Cricetulus griseus: one gene and its partner. The protein of the gene in region 1 interacts with the protein of each later gene in a biochemical or structural test. Links are inferred from orthologs where the notes say so. Each region holds a gene or a part of one and is shown on either strand. Other genes may lie near its edges.

Region 1 (4,447 bases):
AAAAAACAACAACAAAAACCCAAACCAAAATCAAATAAAAAATAATGCTTAAAATATAAGAAGAAAGAGAAGAATGGAAAATGGTGAACACTCTTGTCCTCCCCAATTCACAGATCTGTCATAACACTGCTGTGTGAGATATTGCAAGTAATATTATTTTAGATGGCTGTGCTATTTGTGGCAAAAGGAGATGGGGGGGAGGGGGTTTAGCCTCAGAAGGAGAGGTTTCAGTTAGATGTTAGATAGAGCTTCCTGGTTACTAGATAAGGCCATGGTGCCCCCCCCCTTTTTTTTTTCTTTCGAGACAGGATCTTTGTGTAACCTTGGCTGTCCTGGAACTCACTGTGTAGACCAGGCTGGCCTCAAACTCACAGAGATCCTCCTGCCTCTGCCTCCCGTGTGCTGGGATTAAAGGCATGCGGCACCACCACCTGGCTTGCCATGGTGTTTCTAAGGAGAGCCCACAGATCCTGCCCCCCCTTCTTCATTACTTTTGGCCCTTGGGCGCTCATCACACCTTGCCTTTCCCACCCATCCCAGTTGGCAGCCAAGGAGGCAAAGCTGCGTGACCTGGAGGACTCCCTGGCTCGAGAGCGGGATACTAGCCGGCGGCTGCTGGCTGAAAAAGAGCGAGAGATGGCCGAGATGCGGGCGAGGATGCAGCAGCAGCTCGATGAGTATCAGGAGTTGCTGGACATCAAGCTGGCCCTGGACATGGAGATCCATGCCTATAGAAAGCTGCTGGAGGGCGAGGAGGAGAGGTGAGCCAGGAGGGGTCGAAAGACGTTGGCAGGAGCCTCTGGACTGCAACTACCATGACTAACCCCCCACCTTGTCTCCACCTTCCCAGGCTACGCCTGTCCCCCAGCCCTACCTCGCAGCGCAGCCGTGGCCGCACCTCTTCTCACTCATCCCAATCGCAGGGTGGGGGCAGCGTCACCAAAAAGCGCAAGCTGGAGTCCACTGAGAGCCGGAGCAGCTTCTCACAGCACGCTCGCACTAGCGGGCGGGTGGCTGTGGAGGAAGTAGATGAGGAGGGAAAGTTTGTGCGGCTGCGCAACAAGTCCAACGAGGTGGGCCTCAGGATCAGAGTCTTGCATTCAATAGCTGGGCGACATTGGTTCTCATGGAGCATCCATCTCTCTGGGAATTTGGAGTGTGACAGTCCCTACATCTCTAAAATTGTTGGGAAGATGGAAGATACCAGTGTGTGTGGCACAGTATACATGTTCACACAGCCACAGTAGGACCCTTGAGGGATAGGGTAGAGAGGCTAGTAGGTTTGAATACCAGAGATGGTGGTGGCAGACCTGGTTTTTGTTGTTGTTGTTATTTTTTATTTTTTATTTTTTGGATCAAGCTATTCCCCCTGTCCCCATGCCTCAGTACCAAAATCTGTAGTAGCTGGGACTACAGGTGTACACTATGGCATCTGGCCTACCCCGGCTCTTTTGTGAGATAAGTACCAGGTTGAAGACAGACTTTGAAGATTCTCCCCCCCCCCCCATGGAAGGCCTCATCCTCCCCGGGGAGCAGAAAGGGGATGGGTTAGGGAGTTAGTGGGGGGCAGGGGAGTTAGAAGGAACTGGGATTGACATGTAAAACAAGCTTGTTTCTAATTTAAATGAAAAAATAGAAAAAAAAAAAAGTACCGGGTTGAGTCTCCCGTTCTCCTCCCTCCCTCACTGGCAGGACCAGTCCATGGGAAACTGGCAGATCAAGCGTCAGAATGGTGATGACCCCTTGATGACATATCGCTTCCCACCAAAGTTCACTCTAAAGGCTGGGCAGGTGGTGACGGTGAGTGGAAGGGTGTTTGGGATTCTGGAGTGGAGAAGTTGGCCTCTGGACAGGAGCGTTAAGAATAAACACACTTCTTAAACTGTCTTTTCCCAGATCTGGGCTGCAGGAGCTGGGGCCACCCATAGCCCCCCTACTGACTTGGTGTGGAAGGCACAGAACACCTGGGGCTGTGGGAACAGCCTTCGTACAGCTCTCATCAACTCCACTGGAGAAGTGAGTATGTTGCAGCCTGGACCAGGCTCCCCCTGGTGGCCATAATGAGAGTCAGCTGCCCTCAACCCAATGCAACCTTGAATCACGTTCCAAGTGCCCACCCAGTAAGCAAGCTAGAAGTCTCCCCAGCAGGGTAATGGGTGGAAATCAGCCAGTGAATGTTGTTAGCTGCAGACTCGGCCTAAAGAGAGCTGATCTCCCAGGGGTGTCCTTTCTATATGTGTGCACAAGCACACTCCTTGACTCCAGTGTTAGAGGTCAGAGCAAACAGCCGGTTAGGGCAGAGCCTGGGAAGGTTCTAGGTGGTTATAGAGGGTTCTGGGAAGGTACTATGGGTAGACAGGCTGCATGGCCCCCACCCCCTGACTCTTGGGCCTGGGCCTATGTTCCCATAGGAAGTGGCCATGCGCAAGCTGGTGCGCTCAGTGACCATGGTTGAGGACGATGAGGATGAGGATGGAGATGAACTGCTCCATCACCACCACGTGAGTGGCGGCCGCCGCTGAGACCCAGCCCACATGGGTAGCCCTACCAGCCTAGGGCAGCTCCCCCACCTCTATGCCAAAGGTCTTTTCATTAAAGAATGTTTTGGAATGCCACTTGCTGCCCTGGCCTTTCTTCTCTCTCCTCCCTCTACCTTGAACAGGGAACCCAGGTGTCTGGTAAGGAAGGGAGTGGGAACTTTCTGGTGCCAAGGACTGTTCCACGGTGGCAGTGGACAAGGATCTGGATTTGTCTCCTGGGAAGGGGATGGGAGGACAGAGATGGCCCCAGCCCTGCCTCTCCCCTCCCTGCATGCATTCCTCTGCTGTCTCTTCTTCATCTGCTGCATGCTTCTTCTCACGTTCCCCTTATTTCCCGGCAACAGTGATTTCTCTCATTCCTGTCCCCTCCCTCACAAATTAAATATCTCCATCTCTGATCTCCCTCCCAATTTCCCTGTGAGATCCTAGGATTCAGGACAGTGTGAAAGCCACACCTCTCCATCTCGAAGCCTTCCTGGCCATTTTCCCCTGTCATGTCCTTCCTCCTAGCCACAGGCCTCCCAAGTCCCTATTCACTCCAGCTGTCTGGGTACAGAGGTCATCTTCCTGCCCAATGGCCAGGAAACTATAGGAGCCCAGAGCCTGGTCCTAAGCAGTCAGTCCCAGACGCACTGTCCCTCCTGAGCCTTGTCTCCCTTCCCAGGGCTCCCACTGCAGCAGCTCGGGGGACCCCGCTGAGTACAACCTGCGCTCACGCACCGTGCTGTGTGGGACTTGTGGGCAGCCTGCCGACAAGGCTGCCAGTGGCTCAGGAGCCCAGGTGGGCGGATCCATCTCCTCTGGCTCTTCTGCCTCCAGTGTCACAGTCACTCGAAGCTACCGCAGTGTGGGGGGCAGTGGGGGTGGCAGCTTCGGGGACAGCCTAGTCACCCGCTCCTACCTCCTGGGCAACTCCAGTCCCCGGACCCAGGTAAGTCATCATCGATCTGCATCTACCCCTACAGCAGGACACTGCTCACTAAGCAGCAGGGCAGGGCAGGCCACGGGAGTGGGACCCTCCTCCTTGTAGCCCCTCTTACACCCTGCCCCTCCTGTCTGAACCCCAGACTTGAGGGCAGGGCCAGAGCCAGAGGGTGAGGGTTGGGGGGACACACACCCCTTTGGGGTCAGGGAGGGAAAGGATGGGCCAGCCACTGTGCTCGCTCACATCTCTGCATTCTCTTCTCTCTTAGAGCTCCCAGAACTGCAGCATCATGTAATCTGGGACCTGCCAGGCAGGGGTGGGGCCAGAGGCCACCTGCTCCCACCTCACCTCATGCCCACCTCCTGCTCTGCACCTAATGGGAGCAGGCCTGAAGCCAAAGAAAAAATTTATTTCCTGCCTTTGGGTTTTTTTTCTTCTTCTTCTATTTTTTTTTCTAAGAGAAGTTATTTTCTACAGTGGTTTTATACTGAAGGAAAAACACAAGCAAAAAAAAAAGTCTCTATCTCAATCCTAAGTCCTTCCCATACTTTCCCTGTATCTGCCTTAAAATCAATGGGCTTCTTTCTCCAAGGAGCCCAGGGAAAGGACTGCTTTTATAACGGCTAGTTTTTGTCCTGCTGCCTTGGCCTTGCGCTTATCCCAGCACCCTGTGACATGGTGCCTGAGAGGCAGGCGTGGAGTTCTCTTCATCAGCCTCCTCCAGACAGCTGGCCCACTGCCACGCCGGCTGCAGAGAAAGGGGGTGCAGAGGGGATGGCTGAGAGAGGTCAAGCCCCTCCTGGTTCCACTGCACTTGGCTGAGCCTCCTCTGCCTGCCTTATACTCTTCCTGCCCCTCCCTAGCCTGGGGTCAGTGGATTCTCCCAGGCACCCCTGCCATGCTTGCTTTTTCTATATTTTATTTAGACAAAGATGGGAGTGAGGTGGGAGGAGGAGGGAAGGCCAGTCTGAGCCTGCCTTTT
Region 2 (3,233 bases), on another chromosome or scaffold:
CTGTGGAGAATATTTCCATGAATCACTCAATTTGGGGCTATTGCAAAAGCCTCTTTAGACTCTGGGATCTTGATTCTTCTGCTGAATGGTAGAGAAGGGAGTTACACTGCAATGGACTAGACTTAAGCTCCAGGTTTGTGCAAGAAAACCACAGTTCAGATTCCTGATAACATCTGTGATAGGATTTTATAGTGGGATAGTGAGGGGATTAAGAGGCAGTGTGCTGAGGCAGGTGCAGAGGGTGATCCTTAGGGAGAAGGCAAACCTAAAATTCCTTGACCTCATAAGGAAGCAACTTGATTCTGTAGGGGGGGCATAGGGTAGTACTGAGCAATCACTCTGTATGCAGAGGCCTCTGGGAGAGGGGCCAGCATAGGGGGAGGGAAATGCTGGGAAATCTGATTTTGCCAAAACTAAAAAATATTCATGAAGCAGCCTCTGAATGGACAGAATGTCTCTCTCTGCCCTACTCTGTCTCTCACTTACACACACTCCTGCCCAAGGTTCTCCTGTCTCTTCGTAAGACAGTATCTTTTCCAGGGATTCATATAGCTCCATTTCCAGGGACAGAGGAGGGCACTGTCTTTTAAATCCATTCAACACCAACCCTTCTTCATTAACGACTTTTTTATGTGGTCAAAACAGGGCTCCTTCTCATCATTGCCTACTTTAAACTTCCATAAAGAATTGGCCTGTGGCCTTCACCTAAATGCCATCAGGTCAGCCTAGAACTGATCAGAACACTCACTATCACTATCATTTAAGACAGTGGTTCTCAGCCGGGTGTTGGTGGCGCACACCTTTAATCCCAGCACTCGGGAGGCAGAGGCAGGCGGATCTCTGTGAGTTCGAGGCCAGCCTGGTCTTCAAAGCGAGTGCCAGGATAGGCTCCAAAGCTACACAGAGAAACCCTGTTTCGAAAAACCAAAAAAAAAAAAAAAACAAACATAACTATAGAAAAATTATAGTTGTGAAATAGCTACGAAAATAATTTTATGGTTGGGGTCACCACAACATGAGGAACTGCATTAAAGGTCACAGCATTAGGAAGGTTGATAACCACTGCTTTAAGAGATCAGGTATCCCAGGCACCTTTTCTGCATGTACCCCTCCTCCTAAGTCTGTCCAATAAGGGGCAGCCTACCTAGTTCCAGATGACTTTGTGTAGAACAATAAATACATGGTCACTATTCGAGATAACCTTTGTCTGATACAGATCCTTTGTAAGCCTTAATTGATTCCCGGTTTGCCTCTAGGTTGTGCACCCTGATGGCCTCCAAGGTCATACCAAGTTTAGGGGTTATTCTACTCTGCCAAACAAGAACTCTACTGCAGAACTCTTCAGGGCCCCAGGTGGATGGAAATGTGAGTTAGACAGGCACAAAGTGTACCCGTCTACACGCATCACAAGGTGGGTGTCTTCTGATTATGACCACTGGCATGTCTCGGGGCCTTTGGAAGGCTTCTTGGTCCTGGAGTGCTGGCAGCCTCCCTGGCCCAGTTGCTTGCCCCATTTCCTCCCAGATGGAGCTAGGGGGCAGGCAGGGCCACGGAGACTGAGAAGACCAGCGAAGATGGGTGGGGCGGGCCAGGGGTCTGCGGGTGGCTACTTAGGTGATGAGAGCCCTGAATCGCAGCTGTTTCTTGGCACTAGTGTGCACAAAGAGTTCCCAGCAGTACCAGGCTGTCTGAAAGGGTTCGCTCTCAGGATTGGACTCTTTGCATTGCTGTGGAACAGACTGCCCCTGAGGACCATAGTTCGCTAGAGCACTGAGAAATAAAATCGGAGTGAAGCCAGTGACAAAGAGATCCCAGTCTCCCAACCACAGACCCTTTTCCGCCCCTCTAGCACATCTAACTCTTAACACACCCTCTGCTAACGTCTAGCTAACCTGGGTAGTCTAGTCAGCTGCTCCCCTGGCTCTCCTACAGGCCCCTCCCTCTTCCTGTTCTAGCCAATCCCACACAAGTGTGACGTTTACATTCTCCAGCCCCGCCTGTTCCAACCGCCAGACCGGTCTGTACCGGCCATTCTGGCGGGTTTGAGCCTGCCCTAAGGAGCGCGCGCAACTCGCGTAGCCGTGGCCGCGTAGCCGTGGCTGTGACGCAAACGTAACGGAGGCGTGACGCGACCACAACCGCTTCTAAGGCGCTGGAGCTTCCTTCGTCGCTCTAGGAGCTGTCCGTTTCCTAGGCCGTGTCCATAGGCCCGGGCCACCCCTTACGTTCAACACCGCTCCCCGGTGTCGGCCGGGTCTGCCATGGACGACTATGCTGTTTTATCCGACACTGAGCTGGCCGCCGTGCTACGCCAGTACAACATCCCGCATGGGCCTATCGTGGGTACGCGGCAGACTGTGGCGCGGAGAACCTATCCCAGGCCCCGCTTTCCCGCGCTCCTCGCTGAGCGTTATCCCCTACCTCCTCGTCCCCTCCCCGTATTCCCCGGCGCACTCGGGGTGCCCAGCTCGCACCCCCTGACCGCCTCGCACCCTGTATCTGACCAGGCTCCACTCGCAAGCTCTACGAAAAGAAAATCTTCGAGTACGAGACCCAGAGACGGAGGCTCTCGCCCCCCAACTCGTCATCCTCTTCATTCTCTTACAGGTTCTCAGGTGAGTCCCCCGCCGCAGAGCCTGGCTGAGCTGCTTGGAGACACAAGGCTTGGGGAGGGAGGGTGTGGCTGAAGCAATTGAGGGAATAGAGGGATGCCTAATGGTCTCTACCTCCCCCTTAATGCAGACTTGGATTCAGCCTCCGTGGACTCAGACATGTATGATCTGCCCAAAAAAGAGGATGCCTTACTTTACCAGAGCAAGGGTAAGACAGGTGTGGGGTGGGTCCTTTATCAGGGAATTTGGGCACAGGGAAACCTAAGACTTCACCCCAGTTCTCAATGGCTCTAGAGTGGAGAAACTGTCACAGCACACACACAGAATTTGGGGCCATGAGGTCACTTTCTCCTTTACCACTGTTTTTCCTTCCCAAGAATATAATGACGACTACTATGAGGAGAGTTATTTGACCACCAGGACATATGGGGAGCCCGAGTCTGTGGGTATGTCCAAGAGCTTTCGCCAGCCAGGGACCTCACTTGCAGATACCCACACCTTCCATCACCAGGTGAGTTGACTGGCAGCATATCTGGATGTAGTCTGAGAGGATCCTAACTGGGTCTGGATAAGTCCAAGGAGATATTAGGTACAGAGAGTAGTCCTTAGGCGGTCAAATAG

What was found. The genes of interacting proteins can lie anywhere in the genome.
Region 2: the proteins of Lmna (region 1) and Emd form a complex in vitro, tested with the Homo sapiens proteins (4 studies listed by BioGRID and IntAct, with this or other methods). The link is inferred for Cricetulus griseus from reciprocal best matches to the Homo sapiens genes LMNA and EMD.

Annotation. Positions count from the first base shown.
Region 1 is NW_023276806.1:66,025,244-66,029,690, forward strand, and holds the end of Lmna (lamin), read left to right. Parts: intron 1-540; coding exon 541-761; intron 762-850; coding exon 851-1,073; intron 1,074-1,692; coding exon 1,693-1,800; intron 1,801-1,896; coding exon 1,897-2,016; intron 2,017-2,411; coding exon 2,412-2,501; intron 2,502-3,204; coding exon 3,205-3,471; intron 3,472-3,733; coding exon 3,734-3,760; downstream 3,761-4,447.
Region 2 is NC_048604.1:1,458,148-1,461,380, reverse strand, and holds part of Emd (emerin), read left to right. Parts: intron 1-1,256; 5' UTR 1,257-1,411; intron 1,412-1,955; 5' UTR 1,956-2,261; coding exon 2,262-2,343; intron 2,344-2,507; coding exon 2,508-2,615; intron 2,616-2,742; coding exon 2,743-2,820; intron 2,821-2,989; coding exon 2,990-3,123; intron 3,124-3,233. UniProt on the Homo sapiens protein: Stabilizes and promotes the formation of a nuclear actin cortical network. Stimulates actin polymerization in vitro by binding and stabilizing the pointed end of growing filaments. Inhibits beta-catenin activity by preventing its accumulation in the nucleus.